5 linked regions of the Rattus norvegicus genome follow. The protein of the gene in region 4 binds, or shares a complex with, the protein of the main gene of each other region. Links are inferred from orthologs where the notes say so. Each region holds a gene or a part of one and is shown on either strand. Other genes may lie near its edges.

Evidence for each region.
Region 1: Ropn1l (region 4) and Dydc1 share a complex: the UniProt entries of both Homo sapiens proteins name them as parts of the axonemal radial spoke complex. The link is inferred for Rattus norvegicus from reciprocal best matches to the Homo sapiens genes ROPN1L and DYDC1.
Region 2: Ropn1l (region 4) and Dnajb13 share a complex: the UniProt entries of both Homo sapiens proteins name them as parts of the axonemal radial spoke complex. The link is inferred for Rattus norvegicus from reciprocal best matches to the Homo sapiens genes ROPN1L and DNAJB13.
Region 3: Ropn1l (region 4) and Lrrc23 share a complex: the UniProt entries of both Homo sapiens proteins name them as parts of the axonemal radial spoke complex. The link is inferred for Rattus norvegicus from reciprocal best matches to the Homo sapiens genes ROPN1L and LRRC23.
Region 5: Ropn1l (region 4) and Nme5 share a complex: the UniProt entries of both Homo sapiens proteins name them as parts of the axonemal radial spoke complex. The link is inferred for Rattus norvegicus from reciprocal best matches to the Homo sapiens genes ROPN1L and NME5.

Annotation. Positions count from the first base shown.
Region 1 is NC_086034.1:16,972,191-16,978,430, reverse strand, and holds the start of Dydc1 (DPY30 domain-containing protein 1), read right to left. Parts: upstream 3,400-6,240; 5' UTR 3,153-3,399; intron 2,652-3,152; exon of another isoform or gene 2,397-2,651; intron 1-2,396. UniProt on the Homo sapiens protein: Functions as part of axonemal radial spoke complexes that play an important part in the motility of sperm and cilia. Plays a crucial role during acrosome biogenesis.
Region 2 is NC_086019.1:164,270,977-164,276,954, forward strand, and holds the start of Dnajb13 (dnaJ homolog subfamily B member 13), read right to left. Parts: upstream 4,118-5,978; 5' UTR 4,112-4,117; coding exon 4,044-4,111; intron 78-4,043; coding exon 1-77. UniProt on the Homo sapiens protein: Functions as part of axonemal radial spoke complexes that play an important part in the motility of sperm and cilia.
Region 3 is NC_086022.1:159,269,864-159,275,343, forward strand, and holds part of Lrrc23 (leucine-rich repeat-containing protein 23), read right to left. Parts: exon of another isoform or gene 5,379-5,480; intron 4,081-5,378; coding exon 3,950-4,080; exon of another isoform or gene 3,834-3,949; intron 1,041-3,833; coding exon 904-1,040; intron 596-903; coding exon of another isoform or gene 508-595; exon of another isoform or gene 1-507. UniProt on the Homo sapiens protein: Essential for sperm motility and male fertility. Plays an important role in the proper assembly of the third radial spoke (RS3) head and the bridge structure between RS2 and RS3 in the sperm flagella.
Region 4 is NC_086020.1:84,160,177-84,166,198, reverse strand, and holds the start of Ropn1l (ropporin-1-like protein), read left to right. Parts: upstream 1-1,982; coding exon 1,983-2,113; intron 2,114-4,590; coding exon 4,591-4,714; intron 4,715-6,022. UniProt on the Homo sapiens protein: Functions as part of axonemal radial spoke complexes that play an important part in the motility of sperm and cilia. Important for male fertility.
Region 5 is NC_086036.1:26,450,814-26,456,831, reverse strand, and holds the start of Nme5 (NME/NM23 family member 5), read left to right. Parts: upstream 1-2,003; 5' UTR 2,004-2,405; coding exon 2,406-2,534; intron 2,535-6,018. Other genes in the region: Brd8 (bromodomain-containing protein 8), read left to right, coding at 627-677. UniProt on the Homo sapiens protein: Functions as part of axonemal radial spoke complexes that play an important part in the motility of sperm and cilia. Does not seem to have nucleoside diphosphate kinase (NDPK) activity.

The sequences.
Region 1 (6,240 bases), on a different chromosome or scaffold from region 4:
ACTCTCCATTTCTGGACTGTAGTTCATTCTAGACTAAAAGTCAAAATGAAAACAATAACCAGGTAACAATACCTAACGTGATATATAACTATTCCTTGTCCAACTGCAAACACATAAACAATAAGCTTAGCTGGGTGGGATCTTGTCCTGAGGTCACCACTCCCTTAATCTATTTAATATACTTGAACGCAGGATTTCATTCCATTGCACTTCCTGGTGCCCATTTATTATTTGAACCATACATCTTGTAGTTTTTCTTTTTAGGCTTGCTATGCTTAATCAGAGCAATCTTCATGACAGTAATCCAGAGGACAAAGTCTATGCTGGGTGTTCCTGAGACTTTCTTTATCAGTGTGATTAATCTGAGTCCTTTCACCTGAGTCTCAGACAGACTCTTCAGACAAGGGAAAAGAGCAGCAACATTCTTCACCAAAGCATAAGAAAGATCTCCAGAGTTCAAATCACCAATATCTTCTATATTCCTACTAGGACGAACCATTAAGCCTCACTTGAAGCATTCCATGGCTTTCCAAATCCAAAGTCCCAAAAGCCACATTCCTCCAGCCAAAACCATGGTATCACAGCGATCCTCAGTCTCTGGTATCAGCTTCTGTGTTAGTCAGTGCCCGTGACCAAGGCCACTATTATAAGGACAACACTTAATTGGGGTTGGCTTGCATTTTCAGAGTTTCAGTTCATTATCCATAAAGCAGGACCATGGCAGTATCCAGGCAGGCATTGCAGGAGAGAAGCTGAGAATTCTACATCTTAATGTGAAGGCCTCCAGGAGAAGATTGGCATCCTCCTCAGGCAGCTAGGAAGAAGCTCTCAAAGCCCACTTTCAGAGTGACGCACTTCTTCCAACAAGGCCACACCTCCTAACAGTGCCACTCCCTGGACCAAGCATATTCAAACCACCACAGCTTCCCTTAAGACTCACCTCAAGCACGTCCCTGTCATCATATATCCTGGGCTCTTACCCCACTGAATATCCTGCCATATTCTAGCTATCACACTGTGCTTTCCCATCTCAATAATCCTTTCCTCTCTACTCTTGGAACATACCTCCTCCTTCGAGCCACAGATCATGTCTGGCTCTGGAGTTTTGTCAAGCAGTACAAGGGAGTTTCTCCTACTTCAAGTAGCTCATACAGCCCTTGTCATGCTGCCTACAAAGTGTATAAGAGAGTGTTAGTATGTGTGTGCATGCATGCGCATGTGTGTGCCCTGCTGTCTCTCCATGGTGGCAAGTAATCAAACGTGTGCCTACTCTCAGCTGTTCCCCAGTCTTTTCAGGTATGAAGGCAGATACGTGAGTATTTTTTAGGGTGACTATTTCTATTTATAGTTATATAGGATAACAGACCAAACAAATGATCCCACCCAAGCCCAGAATTGTGACCCAATGAGATTAAAAGACCAGAATATGTTCACCATTGCAGTTCTCGACTCCTGTCTCAAAGGTGCAGACTCAAGACTGGAGTGACATGTGAACGTGGTTATTCACACGTTATTATTATAGTCAGACTGAAAGTGCTGTCTGAATGTCCTGGCAGGGGATCAATTACATACAACACCATGGAATCCAGCCACAATATAAGGGGCTGGAAATGCTCTCTAAAATAGGCAGTGGTTTCCTAGTGAGGCACAATGCAGGAGGAAAAGGGAGATGTAGAAATTGCTCCTGCTTCCAAAGGAATATACACGTGTATGTATAGTGTAGCCCTAAGAACGACTGGAGCTGGCACAAATACGCTGATTTCCAACTAGATTGGCACTGGTGTCCTAATCACAGAGAGACAAACACGGCAACTGACTGGGCTGTGTCTTCACGGTGCTTCTTCTGTGGGAAATTCTCTATAGATAAGATCACCACATGGACGTATCAGTGTCATTTATATACAACATGGAATACACTCTTCCTGCTGCTCCAAAAACATAGGATCTGGGGCTCTGGCAGCTGCTTAGCGTTCTCCGTGGGGCTTTCATGAGGTCCCTCTGTCATCTCTGCAACATACATTTCCTGGTCAGGTTAGGAAACTACTAGCCATCTCTTCTGTCCTAAGAAGTGTTATTTCCCAGCAAACACCAGTGCTCATCCAGCTTCACAGAAGAAAGTCCGCTCCCACAGAAACATCTGGAGCAGCTGCTCTGAGACAATGGAGGAGGTTCTCTGCCAGGACCTGGGAAGAGTGCTGGATTCGGCACTCAAAACCACCGCAGACCTAATTTCTGAGAAACAATGAATAATTGTCTTATATATATTTGTGCTAGCAAGTAACCTGCTTATCTAAAAGTAAATTTCAATCAGGCAGCCACCAACCTAGACACTTAGATTAGTTTTCCTATTGGGTGGCTAGAGGGCGGGAGAAGGAGGGGGGGAGGAAGAAGAGAAAGAGGAGGAGCCGGAAGAGAGGAGGAAGGAGAAGGAGTCCTTGCGCTCCAAAGGCTCTTACAGGAGAACTAACCCTCCCTCGGATTCTGAGTTGAGACCTACTTGACTCTCAAGGTGAAAATTTTAGAACTGCTTCTGCAGAGACACTAGAGGGCCGGTTCGAAGGAAAACGCTCCAGCCTCCTTGGTGCACGCATCCGATGCACGTTCTGGCCACACGCCAGTGAGTCGCGTCCCGTTGCCTGGCAACGAGAGCACGCTCTAGTGTAGAGCTAAGGTTCCATTGCAGCCCAAGTAGTGGAGGCAAAGGGAAATGAAAGGAGAATTCGCACTCTAGGGGAGGGGGTGCACTCTCGATAGAGCCAGGAACGCGCACTGTAGGGGAGGGGGCACGCAGATGGGAGAACCAGATTTATGGGAAAGGAAACACTGTGGAGAAACAGCGGGAGGAACCCAGCAGACACGGGGACTCTTCTTAGATAGGAGCCTTGTGGAGCAGCAGATCTTTGAAGTCAGGAGAGACACTTTCAAGGCTGCAGGCTTGTTGGCTTGGTAATTTTAAGACCTTTCAGAGTGAACTCACGGGCTGGAGAGATGGCTCAGCCGTTAAAGGCTAGGCTCACAACCAAAATATCAGAGTGAACTCACACACAAGCAACTTCAGCTAGCCCAAAGACACCCTCCACCAGGCTCTAGCTTGCACTCTCCCCTGGTGTGCGTGGTTAGTTCTTGTCAATGTGACACAAACCTAGATATACCTGGGGGCAGGAAATCTCAAATGAAGAATTGTCTCCATCAGATTGACTCGTGGGCGTGTCTGGGAGGCATTTTCTTGGTTGCTAATTATGGGCATATGTCCACTATGGGGAGTGCTTGTCCCTGAGAAGGCAGGCTTGGGCTGTGTAGAAAAGGTAGCCGAATCAGCCAGAGAACGAAAGCCTTCCTTTCATGGTTACTGTTTCACGCTCACTCTCCCATTGCGTTGCTGGCTTGGCTTTCCTTGATGATAGACTGAGTGTAATCTGTAAACCAAATAAATTCTTCCCCCCTCCCCCCGGGTCATAGTGTTTACCAGAGCAACAAAAAGCAAACAATGGGCCTGGCATTGCTCGGTGGTAGAGGCTTGCATAAATGCAAGAAGGGACGCTGATGGATCAACAGAGTCTGAGCCCTTCCTTTGCCCACCCGCCCCCAACATCAGAGCACTCAGACATCTTTACTCGGTACTGAATGTGGGACAAGTGCCAGGGGTGGTATCCTCAGAGGGCTTGTCGCGTTTAAGCAGTGCAGCAGTCACTCAGTAATCCAGGCATGGAGAGACGCTCTGGCAGTGCATTGGTGATTCTGTGCTGGGATTCTACGAGAATAGCGAGAGGATCAGTGACTGGGGGTTGCACTGGGGATTTCGTCGAGCCACACATATATTCAATCTAAGATATCGGAAGTTGCACTTCACCAAACAACAACTCCTCGTCCGATCACATGAAGCAGCAGGGATGTGGAAAACTTAATCCACACAAACCCTTCTGTATGTTCCGTTTCCCTGTCTTCTGACTTCTAGAAGCTGTCTCTGGACATGATCTTGACTTTCATGCTCCTTCTTCCATGTGTTTTGTCACTCTGCCACCCTCCACGTCTGGCCTTACTGACACCTCTGGCAATTACAGCTGTGCCTATGTGGCGCTTTCCGTGAGAATGAGCCCGAGAGGCTCAGATATTTGAATGCTTGGTTGACAGTTGCTGCAACTCTTTTGAAAGGCTTCGGAGATGTCTTGTTGGAGGAGGTGTGTCACTGGGGGTGGACTTTGAGGTTTCAAAAGTCCACAGCAGGCTCGCTCTGTCTGCCCCTACCTCCAACGTGAAGACAAGCTTTTGAGAACTGTTCCAGCACCGTGCCTGCTTGTGCCCATGCTCCCAATCCCATGGCGGCTGTGATTCCCCCTCTAAAACTGCAAAGCTTCAAGTTAAGTGCTTTCTTTTGTAAACCGTCTTGATCGTGGTATCTCTTCACCACCAATAGAAAAGTAACTGAGAGGTCCCGCTTGTATAACACACACTCCTTATTTAAGATCCTTAATCACAATTCCAAAGCCCCCTTTATCATACAACATAACATCCACAGGTTCCGGGTTTGAGATTATGGGTTCCTGTGGAAGCAAAAATGTAGCACTGGAATAAGCCTTCAAGATGGCTCCTGTGTCTACATTGTCAGAGTCTTACTTCCTGGCATAATAAACTGTCTCTGGCTGCTTATATTTTTTTTTGCCCCAACCCTGGAGCCAAACTTTTCCTTAAGGATCTACGATCCCTTAATTCATGAACAATATTTAATCCCCCTTTGCAGCTGGGTATGGTGGTGCACACCTCGCATCCATCACTGGGAAGGGATCAGCAGGAAAAAGCATGTTCAACCATGGTGGGCTACCTAGGGAGTTGCTGGCAAGCCTAGCACAGTGAAACCCCGCCTCATGGAGAAAAACAAAGAAACAAAGAGTGCTGGCAGCATTCACTGCTCCTGGGGTATTTGCGATTCTAGACTCTGATATCAGTGAGGGGTAAAATGTATTTATATTTTCTATACCAATGTCTAGTTATTCAGTCGTGAGCTGAAAAACTGGGAATATGGAGGCTTGGTGCTAGGAACATATGTTGACAAAATCTTGTTCCGTAATAGCTCCTGTTTCTTAAATTCTTGCTGTATGCCAGGCTCAGTGCCTTTCACGTGATCAGTAGCTCCATTCGCTCCTTCCATATTGTGAGGTATGTATTTTACTTCTGTTTTCTAAAAGGTGCCAAGACTCTGAGACACCAAGCAACTTGCTGACGAGCACACCGCTGTAAGTGGCAACACCAAGACGTGGGCTGTCTGGTGCAGGTCTCTGTGCTGCTGTGGCTCTGCTCTGGTACTGCAACTTCTGTGTCAGACGACATTATCTGCCACTCTTGACACCTATTAGGAAATGCAGGATCATCCGCTCTCCCTAAAGCCGTGCTGTGGTATTGCATGTCAGATGAGGCTTGGCAGGCCCATCATTTGCAGGCCCATCATTTTCTTCCTCCTTCTCTCTCCCTGTAAAGTAAATGAGCCTCTGCTGTCTATGTCATAGAATAGCTTCCAACCTCACAATAGCACAGCTTGCTGTATACACAGAGTTTCTCTCCAGGGCCTTATTTTCTCTGTACTTAAGAGGGAATATTGTGTGGGTTGGTTAAAAGTCTTCAGCACCCTTGACTAATAATGAGCCAGGCCCTTTCAACACTGATGACCACTGGGACTCCTGGTCTGACGTATTCTAGCTGAAAAGCTGAAGAAGCGGGCTTGAACGTAACAGCGATCGGCAAGGGTGATTTGGTTGGTTATTCTAAGAAAGGTAATGTTACGGTTTGCATCTTTTAAGTGACCCCCAAAGTCTTGGTTGCCAGTCTGTAGTTTTAGCTCCAAATGAAATCACAGTTCCTCAAACTCCAGAAGGCAGTCCGAGTATCCAGAAATGGGTCCAGCTTGAACTATAGGAGAACTTGTGGTGCTTGTTAAGAGCCAGCATGCTGCAGGAACTTGTGAAGCCAAAGCCAATTCCTCTCTACCAAAAAAAGTATGTTCCCTTATCACTGGCAGAATGTGGTGCCTATTAGCATACCAAAGTGCATACTGGCCTCCAGGCTCCCTCAGTGTCACACGTAGTGTTTCAAGGTTCATGCTAGCATCCAAGGTCTTCTCACCTTCTCTCCTACCCTAAACTCCATCATGGGCTTCCCTTCCCCCAGCTACTCATTCTCCTTATAACCCTGCTAATCTTGGTATACGTTTCCTGCCCCACTGTGTCCTCCTCTCCCATGCCCTGCTCC
Region 2 (5,978 bases), on a different chromosome or scaffold from region 4:
CTATTTGCCTGAATATTTCTGGTGCAGTCGGCTCATTTGACTTTAATGGGTGGTTCTTCAGGGCAAGCTTCCGGTATCTAGATGGGGAAGGAGAGCAAGCCTTTGCCTCTGACCTGCTTGTGAGGCTAGAGCATGGCCGGGGCTGGCTCTGCTTTGTTATGAACCAGAGAGAGTAGCACAGGTATCGGCGGCTGTGGGGTGTGTTGCTTGGACCTTTTAGAAGAGAACCTGGGGTAGAAAACACAGTTGGCCTGAAGCCTGAGCGCTGATCCCTAGGCATCTGTCCTGTGGCTGCTTGTCCCCTTAGCTGTCACAGCTGAGACCTAAGGACAGCAGGGATTCGGTGGTGGTCCACCTGTGAGACCAGAACACTCCCAGGTTAGCTTCTCGTCACTGTGACAAAATGCCTTTGGTTAGCGGTTTTCATCCGTGGGTGGCTGACTATTGCTTTCAGGTCGAGCATCATGGCAGGAGCCAAACGGCTTGCCTGCATGGCAACCAGGAAGGATAGACAGAAGGAGAAGTGGGAGAGGAAAGGGAGAAAAGAGTGGAATGGGTGTGAAAAGGGAGAAAAGGGGCAATGGGGACACACAAGAGGGAAAGGGAAGGGAAGGGAAGAGAAACATGGGGGTGGGGGTGGGGACAAGACATCAAAGGCCAACTCCGGAGACCACCTTCTTCTAAGTAGCCCCTACCTTGTAAGAGCCCATTCCAATATGAAGGGATTAACCCATTAATTAATTGATTGATTGACAAATTAATGACATTTACACCCTCCTGAGCCAGTTGTTTCCCACTGGCATAACCTGCTAGGAACAAAGCCTTTAACCAACGAACACTTCATGTTCAAGCCCCAACATCCTCTACCTACTTGGCTCGAAGACTCCCCCACAAGCCAAGCTTAGCTCCCCTCCCTACATAACTCCTCCTTCCCTTTCTAGTCACAAGTCTGGGGCCTACACTGCGGTCTGCAGTCTCCCTGTTTTCCCCAGAATTGGTTCCTGTGGTACGGAGTTCATCTAACTCTGTCTTGTGTCTACTTTGCAGAGGATCATGTCTGACACAGGCTTCTCGAGTGTGTTACGGCCCTCGGGTCCCATTAGGCCCTAGCACTCTCTTCCACCTCTGGGCTCATGCTTGCCCCACTTTCATATCTGCCATCCCACCACTCTTCCCAGGGACGACTGCAGCGTCTGAGGCTACAGTCAAGAGAGATCGAGTGGATGATCTGTGGAGTTTAAAGGGATCATTCACTAAGGCGCAGGATGGAGACCACCACAAAAGACAGTCATGCAGGGGAAGGGGTGTTCTGACCTTCCGAGTGAAAATGGGGAGCTGAAGTGAACCCTGAAGGATGTGCATCTGACCTGGCAGGAGCTGAGACCAATTAAGGGATCTGAGCCCTCTGGAGTGGGCACATAGGAAGGGGACTGTTACATAAGCACCGAAACCACTCTCTCCTTCTATCCTCTTGTTTCCCTCCCCTTTAGGAAGAGGTGCACACAGGGAGGCATTCGACCAAGGAAACCTGCAGGGAAGGGCAGGGAATCTTGGCTTGGTACCATGCAGCCCCTGCTGGGTCTGATCAGGGCACCCGCTCTGCCCAGCCCTAGCACATAGGCGTCTGGTGCTCTGCAGCTTCTCATTTCACAGCCTGCAGTCTGAGCTCATCTCCCACACAGCAGATGCCCATTTCCTACCAGCCCACTTCCCTGAGCCACAGACATCTGTGCCCCACCCCTGTATTTCAGGTCTTCTCCCTGGCCTTGCAGTTCTACCAGATCCAGAGCCCAAACAGGACCTCCATTCCCACACCCACCCACTGCCACAGCCGGAAATCTTTTTTTAAAAAGGAATTATTTATTATATGAATGTAAGTACACTGTAGCTGTCTTCAGACACACCAGAAGAGGTCATCAGATCCCATTTCAGATGGCTGTGACACACCTCTCCTGTTCCTCCACCCACCTCATTTATTAACACAGTCTCTCAGTAACCTGGAACTCTCCAAGTAGGCTAGGCTGTCTGTTCAGGTAGCCCCCGGAATTCACCACCCTTGTCCAACTCCCCAGAGCCAGGTTACAAGCAAAACACAGCTTTCTTCATGTGGGTTCTGGGGGTCCAGCTTGGATCCTCTGCATGCAGCTGCTTTATCAGACGGGCCATCTGGGTACTCTGCTCCTACTCCACAGTTCTCTCTCTCTCTCTCTCTCTCTCTCTCTCTCTCTCTCTCTCTCTCTCTCTATCTCTCAGAGACGAGAAGCTGAGGCTCAGAAAGGTTGAATTGCCTGAGTATGTTATATTTGCTGTCCTAGGGGTTTCTATAGCTGTGCTAAAACACCGTGACCAAAAGCAGCTGGAGGGGTTTATTGTATCTTACATGTCTGCAACCAAATCAAATCTTCCATCATCAAAGGAAGTCAGGGCAGAAACTCAAGGAGGGAACCTGGAGGCAGGAGCTGATGCAGACACCATGGAGGGGTGCTGCTTATGAGCACAGAGGGTAACTCTGTGACTTGGTCAACCTGCTTTCTTAAAGCACCCAGGACCACTAGCCCAGGGATGGCACCACCCATAATCAATCACTAATTAAGAAAATGCACCTTGCCTACAGGCCAGAAGGGTGGGGACATTTCATCAATTGAGAATCTCTCTTCCCAAATGACTCTAGCTTATGTTGAGTTGACCTAAAACTAGCCAGCACATTGGTCTTCTGGTAACTAGGCTATGCTTAGCTATTTGCCACGGTAGCCATCCTTTGACGAGCCCCACTGGTCACCTGCTTTCTCTCATGGTAACTTTTTACTTGATGAATACCACTGGCCAGTAAAAGCCCTGAGCAGTGGGTGACATCACACACTACACAGAACTGTCTCAATTGTTTAATGAATTTATCTGATTTCTCCATCCCCACTGGACACCCACTTATCCCTCCCCTTCAGTCCACACAAGCAAGACCTGGCCCAGGGAAGAAGGGATCATGTCTGATTTCTTATTCCATTTGCCACATACAAGCCCGTGGGATGACAGTGGCATTTTCCTCTCAGGGTGGCTGTGAGGATTAAATGAAGCAATGACAGAAGGCTCTCAGAACAGCACCCACATGTTCAATACAAGCAGCTAGTGTGCCTCCAAACCTCCAGTTGCCTCAGATGCTTCCTTTTGTCTTTACCTTGGATGACACAACTGATTTCCAAACTCAGTGTCTCCTGTCCAGCCCTCTCAGGAGCCTTAGTCCTCCTTCAAGCCTCACCCTTTGGCTTTAATTATCTGGACAGCCTCCTTAGAAGCCCCTCGCCTCTTAACACAAGCCTCTGCTGCACCGGGTACGCCTCCCTTTATAACAATACACATAAGATGAGGGCTCCATAAATATTTGCCCAAAACTTCTTTTCAAAGAAAAACTTTAAAAGATCAAAAATTTCAGAAACATAGCCTGACCTTTATCCTAGATGTCCCTCTAAATACACACACACACACACACACATACACACAGACACACACACACACTTCTTCTCTTTTACAAACAGGGCCTTGCTATGTGGCTCAAGCTAGCCACTGACTCACTGTTTGGGGGTTAAAGACATGGACCATCTCACCCATATCTAGACTGTCACAAAGTCCCTGAGACTTGACAGAGGTGTTCAGAGACAGAGATCAGTCAGTGACAAAAACCCATGTGATGGCCAAAATGAAAACTGTAACATCCACTTGTCCCAGTCATTTCTGGTCCACATGCCTGTGGCTCTCCATGAGACTCAAGATAAGTTCCAAATGGTCCTTTGTCCTTATTTCATAGCTAGGAATTCGGACATGACCCAGGAAGAGCTAAGGGACAGGAGTTTGGGGCATTGGAAGCCCCCTGATGCACTGAGGGTGTGTCTGAATTTCCAGTTCGTGTCCTGACCAGCACGAAGTCAGATAGGGCATACAAGGGAAGAGAGGTGCCCCTTTCCTACCCTAAACTGCGCAGGGAAACTATTTGGCTGGCATCAGGGCGGGGCTGCCTCTGCACTTGCTGGGCTAGGATCCCACCCACTTACGCCTTCTTGATCTGGGCATCCTCTGAGTTGCGATTGACCTGGAGCACAGCATAGTAATCCATCCCCATGGCTGGTAGCAGTGGGTCAGTTTTTCCTCAGACTCCAGCGTCTGTTCGTCGGCGTTCTGTGGTTGCTCCTGACAACCACGAGTGGCACCCTGGGAATTGTAGTCTTTCTATCTTGAGGAAACGGCTGTGGGGCGCTCATAGCTGGTTCCGTGATCTCAATAAAGGTCACACAGCTAAGAAACTGGAGTCCCCGGCGCCTTTTTGCTTATGTTTTAGTACAGCCACAGCCTTTAAAATCTTCAGAATAAAGCCGGTTGTAGTGGGGCAACATCTTTAATCCCAGCACTCGGCAGAGGCAATTGTGGGCTGGGGGATAGTCTGATGTACATAGTAAATTTGTTGTGGGTCTGGGGTCATTCAGAGATTCACTGACTCAGTTTTGGTTTTAGTAGAGACTTTTTTTTTCCTCTTTTTCTTTTTTCTTTTTTTCGGAGCTGGGACCGAACCCAGGGCCTTACGCTTGCTAGGCAAGCGCTCTACCACTGAGCTAAATCCCCAACCCCAAATTAGAGACTTTTTATTAAAAAAACAAAACAAACAAACAAAAACTGGCCAGGACCAAACCAGAGAAAATTAATCGAGGTAAGACTCTGGCTATTGTTAGCCAAAGGATTATAAAGGAAAGATCCACAAAGTTATAATTTTGGGGGGCAAATTAATTCATATCGTGTTTGGGTGTAGGCAAGGCTTGATTTTGTAGCAGACATCCAGCAGGTGCCTCCGCCATCAAGCAAGCTGACGTTTCACAGAAAAGCAGAGCTTAGCAGTTAGCCTGTTTGACCTTGTGACCTTGTATGAGTAATTGAGCCAGGGAACGGTTTTGCAACAATCAGCAATTTTTTTTAAAGATTTATTTATTTATCATATACAAGTACACTGTAGCTGTCTTCAGACATACCAGAAGAGGGTATCAGATCTCTTTACAGATGGTTGTGAGCCACCACGTGGTTGCTGGGAATTGAACTCAGGACCTCTGGAAGAGCAGTCCATGCTCTTAACCTCTGAGCCATCTCTCCAGCCCAACAATCAGGAATTTTTAAACAATGGCCCAACTGTACCAGGAAGCGGTCCATCCGTCTCAGGCTAGCTCACCTGGTATATTCAAGGTGGGAGCAACTTCCTCATGGCTTACACAAGTTACAAACAACTGTTTTTACAAGCCTAGCACAGTAAATTTATCCTCTAAACATACTGTTCACCAGGACAGCTAGATCTACCTAGAGAGCTTGTCTCTCTTAAAAGTATTTGTTTTTTGTTTTGTTTTGTTTTGTTTTGTTTTTGAGAACAAGTTGAGTGTGGCATAAGACCAGCTTAGGCTATGGAATAAGTATTTTTTTTTCTAAAAACAAATTTATTTGGCTGATTATTTATTTCGGTTTTTGAATTTTCGAGACAGGGTTTCTCTGTACACACTGACTGTCCTGGAACTCACTCTGTAGACCAGGCTGGCCTCAAATTCAGACCTACCTCTGCCTCCTCCTGGGCGCTGGGAATAAAAGTGTGCACCACTACTGCCCAGCTCTTGTCTGATTTTTTTTTTAAGATTAAAGGATAGTTTTATATTTTCAGAAAAACAAGATTAAAATGTTCTCATATACCCTACCCAGTTTCCCTGTTGGTGCATTACATTAGTTCAGCACATTACCTGCTAGGCAGCAGTTTAGAGCAGGTACTGAGATCTCACCGGACTGAGCCAAACCTGAGTTCAGTCCCAGCATCCAGGTTGGGCTTACAACAGCCAATAACTCCAGCCCCAGTGGATAACTGACACCCTCTTCTGTCTTCTGTGGCCAACTGCACTCATCTGCACATAGCCACACACAGAAATCCACACATATGCATAATAAAAATAAAATCTTAATTAAAA
Region 3 (5,480 bases), on a different chromosome or scaffold from region 4:
GTTTTTTCCTTCCTTCCTTCCTTCCCTCCTTCCTTCCTTCCTTCCTTCTCTCCTTCCTTCCTTCCTTCCAAGACAGACTTCTACTGTGTAGCCCTGGCTGTCCTGAAAATCACTCTGCAGACCAGGCTGGCCTCAAACTCAGAGATCTGCCTGCCTCTGCCTCCTGAGTTCTGGGATCCCAGGCGCATCCCGCCACCCCCCTCTGCTGGGCTACATCGTATGTTAAACTATCGTAGGTAAAGGCGGTCCTTCACAGGGAGTGTTCAGCTTAGAGAAAAGAGACAAGGAATGAATGGAAAGGGTAACTGGCATAGGAGAGGGAGAAAGGCATTTACATAGGATACAGCCAGGAAAAGAGTGCTGGAGTCAGACTGTGAGTCACTGAAAAACAGCCATAGTGGTGGGTAACCTCAGCTGTGCAGGAGGCTGAGTCCGAGAGACTGGGCCAGCCTGGGGAACATCGCAGTGAAGAAAGAAGCCCCGTGGTGGTGGACGGTGGCGGTGCCTTCATTCCCAGCACTGAGCAGGCAGAGGAGAGGCAGGTTGAGCTCCGTGATTTCGAAGCCAGCCTGGTCTACAAACCAGGACAGCTGGGCTACACAGGAAAAAAAAATGGGAAAAACAATACAAAACAGAAAAGAAAGGAAAAAGAGGAAAATGGTTCACTTCTGATTCTTTTAGGTGTTTCTAAAACACAGAAAAAGCCCCACTAAAAACAGTATAGTCTTATTCATTATAGATTGAATTAATGCGAAGACCTTTGTGTTGCACTTCAAGGCAAATTCGGAAAAAAGGACAGTAGAGGACAAGAGCAGAAGGACAAGGCCAGGACCCAGCTGCCGGTCCCTGGGAGAGGTGACGGACAGGTGGGAGGCAGGTCTTCACGAGGATGCGCACGCATACCTCAAGTTGAGGTACTGCAGAGACTTCATTTCCTTGGAGAAGCCGTCCAGAGTTTCAATCTGGTTGTCTCGCAGATGCAGAGTGGTCAGGTTGCTCAAGTTTTCCAGGCCTTCCACCTTCTTCAGCAGGTTTTGAGCCTACGTCCCAGCAGATGGTAACATTAACCCAGAGTGGGGAGCAGAGAGAGGGAGCAGGAAAAGGATGAAGCCAAGGAGAAATCTGAGTAGCGAGTAGCAAGCAGTGTGGGTGTAGAGAAGGGGAGTGGGGACAGATGGTGCGATGTAGAGAAGGAAGAAGTGCAGACCTAGGTGTGGTGGCCCATCCTCCAAAATCCTAGTAGTATTCAGGAGACAGAAGCAGGAAAAGTGTCATGGTGTAGAAGCAAACCTGAGCTACCTCAGGAAGTCTCCAGGCCTGCCTGGACTACTACCTTAGCTCAAATATCACCCCTTCCCCCCCCAATAAAAAAGACAAAGGGGTCATCGGGACTGCTCAGTGAGGAAGGTGTTGGCAGCCATGCCCAACAACCTGAGTTCATTCCCCTGTACCCACACGGTGGAACGAGAGCCAATGCTTGTCGCTCATTCTCAGGCCGTGCTGTGCTTGCCCCGCACACAAAGTTAGAAGTAATTGTAAAGCAATTTTAACTAAAAAAAAAGAAAAAGAAGGGCTGGAGAGATGGCTCAGAGGTCCTGAGTTCAATTCCCAGCAGCAACATGGTGGCTCACAACCATCAGTAATGGGATCCACTGCCTTCTTTCAGTTTGCAGATATACAGGCGGGCAGAATGCTGTATACATAATAAATTAATAAATTTTTAAAAAAATAGACAAAGAAGCCCAAAAGCTAGATTTCCCAGAACAACAATAAATCTGTCAGGAGAGATGTTTCTGGGCCAGAGAGGAAGCCTTGGAGGTAGAGCTCTCCTACAGCACGTATAAGACACTGGTTTCAAACCCCAATACAAAAGAAGCAAAACCAAGACAGACCCATCTATTCATCCCATCAAGGCTCTCTAATTCCAGAAGAGCTGATTAGATCTGCCCTTGTCCCAGGAGCCCCACTCACTAACAGAGAAATGGCTGTAGTACGTTCCAGAAGTCAGCATGTCATCCAGGGTAAATGGACAGAACTTAGAGCCTGGCTGGTATGGTGGTGCCCAGTGTGACCCCAGCACTCACTTGGAGAATGGATCAGAAGGAAAGCCTGACCCTGTTAAGGAGTCAGGCCAGTGTAGGCTGTGCAGGGAGATCCTGTCTCAAAAATAAAAGTGAACTTGGGGCCAGAGCAATGGGTCAGCAGTTAAGAGCATCTACTGTTCTTTTAGAAGACCCAGGTTTCGTTCCCAGCACCCGTGACAGCACACAACCTGCCTGTAACTCCAGTTTCAGGGGATCTAGCCTCACTCCTGATCTCTAGGGGCACCAGGCACACACATGGTGCTACACAAACACACATACATGTAGATAAAACACACACATGAAAATATTTTTTAAGGAAAATAATAAAAACAAGATCTGGTGGCACATACATATCCTGGCACTTAGAAGACTGAGACAAGAGGACTGCTGTGAGTTCTAGGCCAGCCCGACTCATATAGGCCAGTCAGGGCTACATGGTATGACCCTTAACAACAACAGAACATGGGCCATGGGCAAGGCTTGGTCAGTAAAATTCTTGTCATGCAAGCATGAGGACTCGTGTTTGTCCCCAGCACTCACATAAAAAGCCAATCTTGTGTTGGGGTGGGGCGGGGTACACAGTCTGTAATGCCTGCTATTGGGGTAGAGACACTCAAGACCCCTGGAGCTAATTAATTAGGCCAAGCTAATTAATTAGTGAAGTTTCAGGTTCTCTGAGAGACCCTGTCTCAAAACATATGGTCAAAAGCCACTGAGGAAAATGCTTGAAGTTCTCCTTGGGCTTCCACACACAGCACAGTTGCACACCTGTATGCACACACGGTGTGTGTGCGCGCAGACATAAACACATAAAACAAAACTATTCGATGTTAGCTGGGCAGTCGCCTTGACCATGGTGTGTCTTCACAGCAATAGAACAGCGACTAGGCAAATACATTCGGGGTCTTCGGTTTCTGCAGACATAAAAAGATCAGGCGAGGGGTTGGGGATTTGGCTCAGTGGTAGAGCGCTTGCCTAGCAAGCGCAAGGCCCTGGGTTTGGTCCCCAGCACTGAAAAAAAGAATAGAAAAAAAAAAAAAAAAGATCAGGCGAGCCAGGCAGTGGTGGCGCACGCCTTTAATTCCAGCACGTGGGAGGCAGAGGCAGAGGCAGTTGGATCTCTGAGTTCAAGGCCAGCCTGGTCTACAGAGAGAGTTCCAGGATAGCCAGAGTTACACAGAGAAACTCTGTCTTAAAAGAAAAACCAACACACACACACACACACACACACACACACACACACACACACACACACACATTATAATGATACATACTAGAATTCTGGCACTTGGGAGGTGGAGGCAGAAGGATCAGGGGAGTTCAAGGTCATCCTCAGTTACACAGTGATTTCAGGTTAACCTGGGCTACATAAAACCATCTCAATAGGGGGGTTGGGGATTTAGCTCAGTGGTAGAGCGCTTGCCTAGCAAGCGCAAGGCCCTGGGTTCGGTCCCCAGCTCTGAACAAAAGAGAAAAAAAAAAAACCATCTCAATAAATAAATGGATATTTATTTCTTTGCCCATTCTCTGTACCTGAAAAGCACGTTTTGCAACAACCTATATCACACATCATATATTGTAGCCCTGCCTTCCTCTCTCCCTCTTTCCTACTCGCTTCCCTCTGAGAGACAGGGTCTTATTCTGTAGCCCAGGCTGGCCTCTAGCTCTCAGCAGTCCTCCTTACCCAGCCTCCCAAGCGCTACCACTGTAAGCATGAGCCTGTACTTACTGTTTTAATTTTATGTTTCCACAGTATCAGACCCCGTGTGGGCCTTGTCACCACCACGGTGCTGAAGCTACTAGCTAAGCCTACCAGAAGCCAAGGCTGCTCCCTTCCCTGTGCCACCCGAGGACCCATGAGCTACCAGGTAGAGATTCTTTAGCTTGGGAAGGTTGATTCCTATTGTGGTTTCCAGCTGGTTCGCTCGAAGCTCCAGGGTGTGCAGGTTAGTCAGTCTTTCGGGGTCCAGACCAGTCACCTGGTGGATGCGGTTCCCTATCAGAAAAGAGGGAATCGAGATCGCAAAGGGCCATGGTGAAGGTTCAGCAGGAGACATGTTGCTTTCCCCTGACCCCGTATCTTCTCCCGCTCTGATGTGGGGTGGAAGGTGAGGGAGCTCTGAGGCAAGTAGACCTGGGTTTGCCCATCTATACTTTGAGAATGAATTGCTAATGCCTGAGCAACACTCATGGCCGACGTCCTTCTTCCCTGCATACCTTTGGTCAGGTGGCATTTCACCTAAACAACCAGTTTAAAATTGTCATTTGTGCTGGGCCTACAATTCAGACCTGTAGGCCCAGCTACTTCTACCTAGGACCCTGAGGCAGCAGAATAACAAGGCTACGGCCTTCCTGGGCTACAACTGAGTGAGTTCAAGTGCAGCTTCAGAAATTTACAAGATGCCCCTCTCCCCAAAATTAAAAGTAAATTCTGGGGTTGAAGAGATGAATTTAATGGCTCAGAGCACTGCCTGCTCTCCCAGAGGCTCTGAGTTCCATCCCTAGCAGTCACGTGGTGGCTCACATGGTGGTTTGAAATTCTTGGCCCATGGTGTCTCTTCACAGCAACGAAACCTTAACTAAGACAGAAGTTGGTACCAGGACGGGGGTGTTGCTCTGACAAGCCTGATCATGTTTTTGTTTGGAGAAATATGGACTTTGGGGCTGTCGGATATTACCATGAAGAGACACGATGACCAAGGCAACTCTTTAATTGGGACTGGCTTACAGTTTCAGAGGTTCAGTCCATTACCATGTCTGAAAGGCAGATATGGTGCTGAAGGAGCTGAGAGCTCTTGATCAGAAGGCGGCCAGGAGGAGACTCTGTATCAAACCAGCAGACTTAAGCATATATGTGAGACCTCAAAGTCCCACCTCCACAGTGACACACTTCCTCTAACAAGGCCACACCTCCTCCAACAAGGCTTCACCTCCTAAAAGTGCCACTTCCCATGGGCCAAGCATATTCAAATCACCACACCATCCATAATGGAATCCAATGCCATCCTCTGGTGTGCAGGCCTACATGCAGACAAAGCACTCATGCAAAAAATGCATAAACATGCTAACCTTTAAAAATCTTTTAAAAAATGAAATAAAAAGTCATAATAGGGCTGGGATATGGCTCGACAGAAGAGTGCTTGTTTAGCATGCACAAGATCCTAGATTCAGTCCCTTGTACCAGAAGAGAGAGAGAGAGAGAGAGAGAGAATGGCACTTGTGCATTTTACAATCTTTCTCCACTCTATTTTCTATAGAATTTACCTCCTTTTTGAGTTATGCTTTGTTCTTTAGACAGGGTCTCACCCTGCGAGCCAAGCTGACCCAGACTGCCTTTGAACGTCATCAACCCTGCTCACACCTCCAGTGTGTAGGGTCCCAGTTGTGAGCCTTCAT
Region 4 (6,022 bases):
GCTCATAAAAGACACGTCAGCAACCACTTTATGCCCATTGCCTGCATGCCTGAGAATGAAAGGGTTTTCTCCTTTATGATAATGAGATCTTTTGGTTTTCGGGGCCATTTCTAGTTTTTCTGTTTCTAAGTTCAAGTTTTTCAAAAGCTTTCAACATTTTTCTCATCTCCACCCAGTTATTAATACATTGTTTAATGTAGGAGCAGTGGGAAAATGTTCTTTGAGCCACAGACATCTTTAATCTGTGAAGTTGAGTCTTCATCAAAGGAAATCAATACTCAGAAATGGTTATCACCTTATATCTACTCATTGGAAACACAGTGATTAGGAGAGTTGATGTGTCAAGTGACTGAAGATGTCTGCCTCCAAGGACCACAAGTGGAGAACAGATAGTAACCAAAAGAGGGATGAGAGAGAAGTCAGCCGCCTGAGCCAGCACACAGGACTGGGGAGACACCGGGACCCAGCTGCTTCCTCAGTGGGTTCTATAGGTCTGCACACATACACACCTAATCCTCCATCAGCCTCCTGCTGCCTGCTGCCTTTATCTCAGGTAGACAGTCACCAAGGCACAGGCCTGTCTGCATCAGTTTACATTGTTAAGACTTTTAAAAAAAATGTATATAACAGTGCCTAAAGTTTCTGTTCCCGTTCATTTATGCTTTAGGACATACTTGAAGGAGGAAGGAGCTTCTTGCTCAGGAACCACAGTCATTTGTTCTTTGCTTAGGAGGCCATTTCCTTGCCACAGTGTGGTAAAGCAGACAACTCCCACATGTAGACAGTGGATCCTTCACAATGGTGCATGGATGCTGAAAATGAAGTAACAGAATGAAAAGCAAACATTCATTTACAGATATGTACAAATGAATATTTCTAGTTCTAAGTAAAACCCCAAATGCTAATTTCTGTAGGGTAAAAAAATTTAGTTCAATGTCAAGCTAGGCATACATTTTTTAGATACAACAGCAAAATACAAGTTTAATTGTCACAATTTATACCTATGAGACATTTAAGAATAAAAGGACACCTGCAAACCCAGATTGGAGGTTTTACAATCTTTTCAGCTTCACAGGTCTTGTGGCTAATTTTTGCGGTGGTGGTAGTGGTGTTGGTGTGGGTGGGGACAGACTTGTTGCTTCTTGAAACACTAAATGTTGTCCGGGATGTCTCCAGTTCCCAGCTCAAATGAACCCCATACTGAGTCGCAGAAATTTTGTAGCACACTAGCCCCCACATCAGATTTTAACTATGTCAAGTTTTATCCGATTATGTTGTTTTTCTTTTAATAAAAGTTAACCTACCGAGCTACATAATGGACATTATTATTTACTCCTTTATACCTACTCCCCACCCCCGTTAAGGATAAATTATACTGCTAAGTCATCAGAAAATTCTGTAGTCCCCAGATAAACGCACATTTCTGTTTACAGTGTCTGAGAATCCTTGTTTGCCCATTCTATCAGTTTGTTATTGTTGTTGTTGTTTTTTTGTTTTTTTTGTTTTTTTTCTTTTCCCAAAGCTGCTTTGGTTTGGAAATGTGTATTCATACAGTGGGTGTGTGGACCAAATGGATTCACAGATGGTGACGCCAAGCCGAGACCCTGGTCTATCCCGAAGACAGTTTGCGATCTCGTGGGGTCCAGATTAGCTCAGCCTCTGAATTTTAGGAAAACAAGCTGTTTTGTTGCACTCTCCCCTCTGTAGAAACTTTGGTCACCGCGACTACGGGCCGGACGTCCGCCCCTTGCTCGCCGAGGCTGTGCGCCTGCGCAGCTCAGGTTGCCTGGAAACCGCACGCCACAATCGCGCGCTCCAGGTGCTGTGGGCGGTTGGGCCTCAGTTTCCAGGAGGGGGCGGAGCAGCCGGTTAGAAGCGGAGCCCGCCGAGGCCCTCCCCGCCGCCCGCTGCGCTGCGCTGACCCTGCCTCTCCCCACGCAGCACAGCGGATCGTCCCCGGCCGCCGCGGTCTGCCCAGAGCGATGCCGCTGCCCGACACCATGTTCTGCGCGCAGCAGATCCACATCCCCCCGGAGCTGCCGGACATCCTCAAGCAGTTCACCAAGGCTGCCATCCGTACGCAGCCGGCGGACGTGCTGCAGTGGTCGGCAGGGTAAGGCCGGCCTGGGAACCTCACCCGGTTACCGAGTACAGACGCCTACATTGTGGGTGTAGACTAACAAAGCTTGCACACCAACCGCGGGGCTAAAAGAGGCTCCGCTGAGTTAAAAAAAAAGTTACAGGGATGTTACAGTGAAACCGCTCAGAACAACTGACTTAAGTTCCTTCCCCCAACCCCACTGAGGCTGAGGTATGCGAAGGCTGCCACCTGAGAAAATTGGCTAGCACAGCTCACAGCTAGCAAACCTTCACACTCTAGAAATAAGGACACGAACCCTGGGCCTGGCCAGTATAGTCATACCACTCATTCTTTCGGTTTTTACACGAGAACTCTGCCACTGTTTAAATCACGAGAATAAATATTTTTAGCCAATTTTTGCTAACTTTCTCTGAACTGTATAACTAAGGTGGTTTCATTTCTTTTGGCTGTTTTAATAACTCAACTTATTTTACCTATTTTTTTTTTTTTTTGGTTCTTTTTTTTTTTTTTCGGAGCTGGGGACCGAACCCAGGGCCTTACGCTTCCTAGGCAAGCGCTCTACCACTGAGCTAAATCCCCAACCCCTAACTCAACTTATTTTAAAACAACATCTCTGGAGGTAAAAACCCCAAATCATCTGAAGCAGGCAACAGGCTTTTGGGGTGGCGGCTTCCATATTTGATTCAGCTGTTGGAACTGCACTCTAATGGCCATTCTACAATCCATGGGTTCTCTTCTGCCTTACTCTCCTTGAGGATTCCTGTGATGCATTTAGGAGCCATACAGTTTGTTCAGGATAGCTCTCCACCTAAAGTCCTTAATCGTGCAAAGATGTACCTCTCACAGGCCCCAGGGAAAGGACCTGGATGTCTCTTATTTAGCTCTGTCAGGGCCACCTTTGACTGTTCTCTCAATGTCCCCTCTACGATATTACGCTTAAGCCTTAGAGAAAGGGCTAGCTTTTTATGAAAGTTTATGTGCACTCCGAGACTCTGCCCCAACCGGGCACATTTGATAATACTTCCGAGAGAGTTTTTTGAGGCCTTGCTCAAGAACTCCATGATTCATTTGATTGGTGATGAGGGCGACTATAGGATAGGTATGAGTTTGCCAAGCCACAAATGGGGCCTGGACCGATAGGTCCACAGTTCTGCATCTGATTCTCTCATGGCTGTCCGAACCACTCCTTAGATCATTAACAAAACCACAGAGAGGAGCACAAGTCTTAGTTGTAGGCAGAGTTGACCCTGAGGGGTGAAGAGAGAGGGGGTTATCTTTGATCTACACAGTCTCCACTTTCCGCATACACCCATGCTACAGACTTAGAGGTTTCTGGGGACTCATATACACACCTGTTGCCCTGGTGCTTACTTTCACGTACATTTTCCTGTACAAATTCTTTGGTTAACGACTGTGGCTCAAGACCCTGCCTGGCACAAGGCCTCCCTCTGGTCAAATCTGATAGAAATCCACCCGAGTTGTTGCCCTGAGCCATTTCTGTGCCTCCTTTGCCTCCAGCCTAAGCATTTTCAGTGACCTGGAATGGAACGATTGGGGGTGGGAGGGTGGCAGGCAGGACGGGGAAAGATGGAAAGCGGGAAGTAGATGACCTTTGTGTATGCCCACACCACCTCCAAGTGAACGTGTAGAGCTGTCTAATGCCACATAGCCCAGAAAGCAGCTGTTGAAAAGGAATAGCCTATGTTGGGGATTTAGCTCAGTGGTAGAGCGCTTGCCTCGCAAACGCAAGGCCCTGGGTTCGGTCCCCAGCTCCGAAAAAAAAAAAGAAAAAGAAAAAAAAAAAAAAAAAGAGTGTCTCAGAAAAGGAATAGCCTTAGGCATGGAGTGCTGGAGAGATGGGGCACTGTTAAAAGTATTTGCTTGCTTTCCTGATGGACCTGACTTGAACTCCTAGCACCCACATTACAGAGTTTACAGCCAACTGTGACTCCAGTTCCTGGACATGGACATCTGCACCTACACACACACACATACACACACACACAACACACACACACACACACACACACACACACACAAAAATAAAAATATTGGGGTTGGGGATTTAGCTCAGTGGTAGAGCGCTTGCCTAGCAAGCACAAGTCCCTGGGTTCGGTCCTCAGCTCCAAAAAAAAAAAAAAAAAAAATATATATATATATATATATATATATATATATATATATATGTATAAAACAAAGAAACACAGCACTCAGAAGAAGGGAGATGAACCACAGTTCAGTGAGGCTCTCCTGGTTCCCATGTAAGCTCTCTGTCACTTGGTGCTTCCAGGACCCTCAGATAGCAATCAGCATGTCTGCTTTGCAGACAGAGAACCCACAGTGCACAGTGAAGTTCAAGGAGGTTGTCCAGCCAAGGTCCCGGGATTTGAGTGTGGTCCGCTGGCTTTGGGAGCTCCCAGCACATCTGCTGGGGTGACGAGAGAGTGTTGCCTCTGTGCTGATCTCTTCAGTGATGTCTCTCCTTCCAGGTATTTTTCAGCCCTGTCCCGAGGAGACCCACTTCCCGTAAAGGACAGAATTGAAATGCCTGTGGCTACACAGAAGACTGACACAGGCCTGACCCAGGGACTCCTGAAAGTCCTGCACAAGCAGGTGGGTGAACCTCTTCACTGCCCATGCTGCTGGTACCTCGTTGTGTCTCTTGAAACATTGGGATGCCTCCCCACTGTCCCCAGGCCTGCTCTGCCATGTTTAAATCTGACGTTATTTCTTGGAAAGAACCCCAAGAGCTAGCTTTTTCATGTATAGATTTTATTTTTATTTTGTGAATGTGTGTTGGAGATCAACAAACCACCAGAGATTTGTTTCATTTTTTTTTTTTTTTGGAGAGATAGAAACATGCTATGTAGTCCCAGAGATCCTCAATCTTGAGGTGACCCTCGTAACCCAGCGTCCTGAGTGTTAGGAGTACAGGTGGGCATTCTGCTCTAGTTTTGAAGTTAGTTTTGAACTTGGAGATATTCTGGACAGTAGGAACCATGTGCTCCCCATGGGAGTGCTCATTTCAGGAGGCCACTGTGGGGTGTGTTTTCTTCATTGACTCCTCTTTCTCCACTCACCCTTTCCTGTAAGTGCTCCCTTATTCTCGTGTGTGTGTGTGTGTGTGTGTGTGTGTGTGTGTGTGTGTGCGCGCGCGAGTGCGCATGTGCAGGAGGGAATCCCCAGCTGAGCTGAGGAGCTGAGGAGTCTCGGTCCCCTCCTTCATGTCTTCTCTTCTTCTTTTCATTGCTTCCTGTCTTCCTGTCTTCTTCCGACGAGAAAGTCACACCAGGTGGAAAATCTCATGAACGAGATTTATTAGAGTGTCCAGTATGGAGGGATGAATCCGAGGATGGCTACCCTCTGCTCCTGGGAGCGGAGAGCAATGAGCTAGACAAAGAGGCAGTGCTTTTATATAGGATTTCCGAGAGGTGGAGCTTCTCAGGACAGAGGTTTCCAGATTGAGGGGTGGTGGGATTTCAAGTCCTGATCTTGGGGAGCTCAGGGACTGGGGGTTTTCCTGCTCAGGGATTGGCCGCTTTTTTCACCCCCCTTTTCCCTGCATCAGGCCCATGGGTTAGGGTGGAAAGTCTCTCCCTGCTGAAGCCAGCTTTTGCTGAGGTGTCGTCTCTGTGGCACTGCTGTGGGGAGGCTGGAGAGGAGGCACTGCCACTGTGGGCAGATCCTGAGAGACAGCTCCTGCCTCAAGAAAGTTGTAGGCTGAGGCAGGAAAGGTGCAGTCACCATGGACAGCTGCTTTTCAGGGGTGGCTCCTGCGGTGGTGGGAAAAGTGACCACTATGGCTATCTCCTGCAGCATCGGTGACAGCTACACGCTGAGGGAATGTGACTGTGCTGTTGTTTTTGACAGCTTCTACAGGGCCATCTTGTTATAGGCAGCTGTACCACTAAGGAACTACTA
Region 5 (6,018 bases), on a different chromosome or scaffold from region 4:
GATTCAGAAGCCTGTGTGAATAAAGATGTAATGGAAGTGACCTCGTGTTCTTAGAGTTTCTTTTCAGAGATGATGGCAGAGCCTGTGGTAAACGTGGGTGTTCTCTTGTGACTGGGAAGCTCCTTGTCCTCATGGGCCCAGATTTAACACACAGTGGGATAAGGATGTCTGGGAAGGCCAGCAGCAAAAATGGCAGGAGATGAGCAAGTGATGGATACTTCTGTTCTCAGAGGCCCGAGTTGTAAGACTGAAAGCCAGTCAGGTGTTGGACCACTGTCCATGTCTCTTTTGTTGTGACTGTTGACATTATTATTTTTTTTTTTTTTGGTTCTTTTTTTTTTCGGAGCTGGGGACCGAACCCAGGGCCTTGCACTTCCTAGGTAAGCGCTCTACCACTGAGCTAAATCCCCAGCCCCGACTGTTGACATTAATGTACATGTATCCGACCCATATTTGGAGGAGAAGTCATAGTGAGTTCAAGGAGACATGTAAGGGTTTCTCTTTTGGGAAGCATCAAACTTTAAAAGGTGTAGTTTTATCTGTTTGACAATAAAAATAAATAAAATTTCATACACTTGCTCTGTGGCTTTAAGGTTCATGGCTTCCTGTCTGCATTCCTCCTGTAGGTTCTGAGTACTTGGCTGGATAAAAGGAAGGACCTGAGTAGCCTGGAATGAGTGCAGCTAATCCAGTGGACCAAGGAAGCCTGTTTTGTTAGCTTCGAACTACAAGTCTGATTCTTTCTCAAGTTACAGCTCTCCTTAGGACTGGCCAGAGAAGAAGTGGAAACTTCTCTTCTCCACTACTTTTCAAATAAGGATAGTAATGCCTCACCTCCTACCTCAAAAGTCAACGGTGCTTGCAATGTAGTATTTTTTAAAGGGGTGGGGTAGGGTACCGAGATCTGGATTTATGATGTAAATATTGCCCACATTTTTGTTGCATAGACTTAAAAGTAATTTGATTGAACCTTTTGTTTCTCTATAAATAAATAGTTTGCAAACTAAAGATTTTGTTTGGTTTTTGGGGCACAGCATCAAAACCCAGGCTTTCCTGGAAACCCCCATTGCATCCAGCCTCTGCCTCTCATGGAGTGCTGGGATTAGAGGAACTCAACCCCAGACTACCTGACCTTGCAAAGGGGGCTTCTAAATGATTAAATAAGCTGGATGATGGGAGCAGCATCATATGGTGAAGCACAGGAGGTATTTGCTGGGAATATAGCTCAGTGGTCAATTGTTTGCCCAGGTTTGATCCCAAGCACCACCACCCACACCCCAAAACAGAAAGAAAGAAAAAAAGAAAAAGAAAAGGAATGAGGGAAAGAGAGAGTAAATAATAAATTTCTCATTAGTCTTTCATATAATGACCAGGAGGAACTGGAGTGGACCGAGAGAGGTGTCTGATTTATCTCATTTACAGATAAGGAATGCATCCTTCAAGCATGTACCATGAAGAAAAGAGATCAATTAGAGAAGAGCTGGTGCTAAGGCTCAAAGGGTAAAGAAGACCACTTGAGTTCCGTCCCTGGAAACCACAGAAACGCAGGAAGGACTTGACTCCACAAAGTTTTCTTACCTCCATATCACACACACACACACACACACACAGAGAGAGAGAGAGAGAGAGAGAGAGAGAGAGAGAGAGAGAGAGAGAGAGAGAGAGAGAGAGAGAGAGAGAGAGAGAGAGAGAGAAATGTGTGTAGTACTCTAAGACTCAAAGAGAATAAAATGTACACGGCTAATTATTGCCTTAGGTTAAAATTAACTAGAGTCTTAAAAAAAAAAAAAAGGGGGGGTTGGGGATTTAGCTCAGTGGTAGAGCGCTTGCCTAGGAAGCGCAAGGCCCTGGGTTCGATCCCCAGCTCCGAAAAAAAGAAAAAGGAAAAAGAAAAAACAAAAAAACAAAAAAAAAAACAAAAACAAAAAAAACGCGGCTGGGATTGGGCCTCTGCAGCCACCGTTAGGAAACCAGCTTCGGTCTCTTAGCAACGAACGGGCTCTGACAACACCTGAACTGAGGCCAGTGCTGGGAGGGTCTCAGGTGGAGATTTCCCGAGAACTTTGGGACCCTGCCTTCCTGTCATGCCTAAGCCTGTACAAAGTGGTCCCTACAAGGTGGGGACCCTTCGCTAGGGCAGCCGGCTAGGGCCTTCCCGTACTCCTGGAGAGCAACACTGATGCCATCCAGCCTCCAGCCTCAGTCGAGCGGCTAGGGCTCCCCTTTCTCTGTATAAGTCGTATTCTTGCAAAAGCATACGTAGAAAAGCATAGTGCTTTCCATTTTTATAAATTAATCAAATCTAGTACCAGATTTTGCCACAGGCTGATTTTGGGACGGGGACTCGTGTCGTTGCTGCGGATAGCTGGTCAGGAGATTTGTAAATTGTACCGGAAAACGCCAGAATGGAGGTATCAATGCCCCTGCCTCAGATATATGTAGAAAAAACCCTAGCCCTTATCAAGCCAGATATTGTTGATAAAGAAGAAGAGATACGCGATATTATCTTGAGATCCGGATTCACTATTATACAGGTAACTTCTGGCGTCTCTTTTATTAGTTTTCACTATACTTATATAAATGTAGCCACCCGTTTAGATCCTTAGTAACATTAAATTTACATTTATAAATATAAAGGTTATATATAAACTGCGCATGTAAGCACACATGCCTGTAATCTCGGAATCAGATAATGGAGGCAGGTCAGCCCTGTACTGACTTCCAAGTTCAGCCTGGGCTCTGTGAGACCTGTCTCAAAAACACGTTACAAATAACAGACAAGTTTTCACACTTGTAAGGATATAGAATAAGACATAAAAGAAGCATGCTGCCTTTTTCTTTTCCTCTGCAGGTCAGCTCTAGGGAGAGGCAATGACTTAACTACATTCTTTCTCCTGGGTGTTTCTAACATTCTGGATCATTAAACCAGAATCTACTTATCCCTTCTGAATTATGTGCAGTATTCCTGTGTATACTTTGGTTCCTAGTGTCAGTAGGTTTTTTTGTTTTGTTTTGTTTTTTCTTTTTGTTTTTGTTTTCAAGAAATGGCTTCTCTGTATAGCCCTGGCTGGCTTGGAACTCACTTGTAGACCAGACTGGCCTGGAACTCAAAGAGATCCAAATGCCTCTTCCTCCCAAGTGTTGGGATTAAATGTGTGCACCACCACACACAGCAAACATTTAGTGTTTTAAGGTCAACATTTGTTCTGTAGTTGGTAAACAGGGTCAAAGAAGCCAAGCACCACAGAGGACATCGAGAGCTCAACTTGGACTTCACAGTGAGTCCCAGACCAGCCTGGGGTACGGGGATGCAGGCCTTGGAAGTAGTGACATAGACCTGTGATCCCAACCCTAGACAGGGTAAGACTGGAGGATCTTGAGTTCCCAGCTATCTTGGGCTTCACAGAGTTCTTAACTGTCCTCTAGTAGACAAGATCTCTAACTAAAAGACAAGTGTACAAATAGATGAGGTGGAACTTAGTGCTTGTAATATTTTCTTTGACTTTCACTTGAACTACAATTCTAAGAGAATAAAACATTATTTTTATTCTTTTAAATGCATATGTAGCTGAGTGCTGTGCTTTTCATCCCAGCACTGAAGAAGCAGAGATGTGTGTTTCTGTTGGGTTCAAGGCAAGTTCCTAGCCAGCCAAGGTTACATAGTGAAACTTGTAACACTGACTTAAAATTCTTATATAGTATCATATTATCTATTTTTTGCTGAGCAAGCACAAGGACATGAGTTTAAATTCCCAGCATCCATGTAAAAGCCAGGTGTGATGGCAGCACCCGGATATAATCTCCGTCTGGGGCGGCAGGGCAGGAGGACCAAGTAGTCTTGCCAACTTGGCCAGCTTGAGGTAGTGGGAGACGCAAAGTGGTGAGCAAGTGCGGCTGGCACCCAATGTGGACTCTGGCTCCACACATGTGGCATCTGCACCCCCACATGTGTGCATATACACACGGACACAGACGTGTGCATGTGTCACCCACAGAGATGACATAGTGGGGAGATTTTGACAGAGTTGAGATGGCACAGAAAATACTCAGGTGAACACAAAGTCTTTAATAAATGTTATGAAATTTGAGTCCTTTTTTTTCTGAGGTAGCTATAAATGGATCTAAATATTTAAAAATTAAACTTCTAGGTGGGGCCAGGGTGTAGCCCAGTGCTGGAGTACAGGCTTAGCAAGCATAAGGCTGTGAGTTCAATCCCTACCACCCCTCTCCACCAAAAATAGTAAATTGTGTTTGTAGCTTCTTCTAGAAGAAAAAAATAGATAAACAAACACTTGAGGAAAAAAGATTCTTAAAAATCTAGGTTCTCATCCCAGAGAGATGGCAGAGGCAGGCAGATCTCTGCTCTACATAGTAAGTTCTAGGACAGCCAAGGCTACACAGAGAAACCCTGTCTGAACAAACAAGCAAATAACTCAAGTTCTCAGGTGGATGTGCAGCTCAGCTGGTGGACCATGTGCCTGGCAAGTATAAACCGTATCTTCCAGCAGTGCAGACCCTGAAGTCCCAGTGCTCAGAAGACTAAAGGAGGAGGACCGGACATTTAATGAGGTTATCCCCAGCTACATAGTGAGTTGGAGGCTAACCTTGGCTACATGAGACTCTGTTTAAAAATCCAAAGTGGGGGTTGGGGATTTAGCTCAGTGGTAGAGCACTTGCCTAGCAAGCGCAAGGCCCTGGGTTCGGTCCCCAGCTCCGAAAAAAAGAAAAGAAAAAAAAATCCAAAGTGAACAAAGGAAGTCTCTTGATACATAGTCCAGGATGTCCTCCAGCACAGGTGACCTCCTGCCTCTCCTTCATGAGAACTCAGATTAAGGTGTTCTCCTGTGTTTTGTTTTCTAAGATGACTTCATTAAGTAGCTCCTGTGGCTTCAGTTATTCTGCTGCAGGCTCATGAGTGCTGGGATAACACACAATGTACCACTCACTATGCCTAGCTTGATTTAAGTGTTACAGGTTTATTTTTAGAAAGGTGAGGGAACTCTGACTTCTGTACCCTGCACACTGAAGATGTTTAAAGTTATTTATTTATCCCATTTATTTTTGATTTTTCAAGACGGGGTTTTTCTGGGTAGCCCTGGCTGTTCTGGAACCCACTCTGTAGACCAGGCTGGCCTCAAACTCAAAGTACTGGGATTAAAGGTGTGTGTCACCACTGCCTGGCTAAGTCCTTTAAAAAAATCTCTCTGTCTCTCTCTCTGTCTCCCTCTCTTTGTCTCTCTCTCTCTCTCTCTCTCTCTCTCTCTCTCTCTCTCTCTCTCTCTGTGTGTGGTGTGGTTGTATGTGAGGATGTGTTTGCTTGTGGTGGTAGGTAGAGTAAATGGATATGTGGATATGTGTGTGTTGTGTGGTGTGGTTATATGTTTGGGGAGGTGTGGGGGTGTTTATGTATGTGGTGGTGGTATATAGGTATATGTGTGTGTGGTTATGTGTGTGTAGTGTGGTTATATGTGTGTATTTGTATGTGTGTGTGTATTGTGTGTGTGTTTATGTATGTGTGTTTATGTGTGTATACAAGTTACCTCAGGCGCCAGGCCTTACCTTTTTTGTTGTTTGGAACAGGCTCTCTTGTTTGCTACTGCAAAATCAAGGCTAATGGGTCATAGGCCTCTAAGGTGCCTCCCATCTCCAACTACCCTCTCTAGAGGTATACAGGGGTTACAAAGTCACTCTACAATGTTGGCCATTAGGGAAATTCTGGGGATCCAAACCCAGGCCCTGACACTTGAGCTACCAATGCTCCTCTGCTCACTGAGCCATCTTCTAATTCTTTAAATCCATATTAAAAAACGATCACTGATAAATAGACTTTGTAATTAAGTGGCTTGTGTTTATTATAAATTAAAACTCAAGAGTTTGGCACAGTAGCACACACCTTTAATCCAAGCACTCAGGAGGCAAAGGGAGGTGAATCCCTGTGAGTTCTGGGCCATCCCAAGACTACACAGAGAGACCCAGTCTCAAAACAAGAACATAACAAGCAATTAGCAGATACATAGC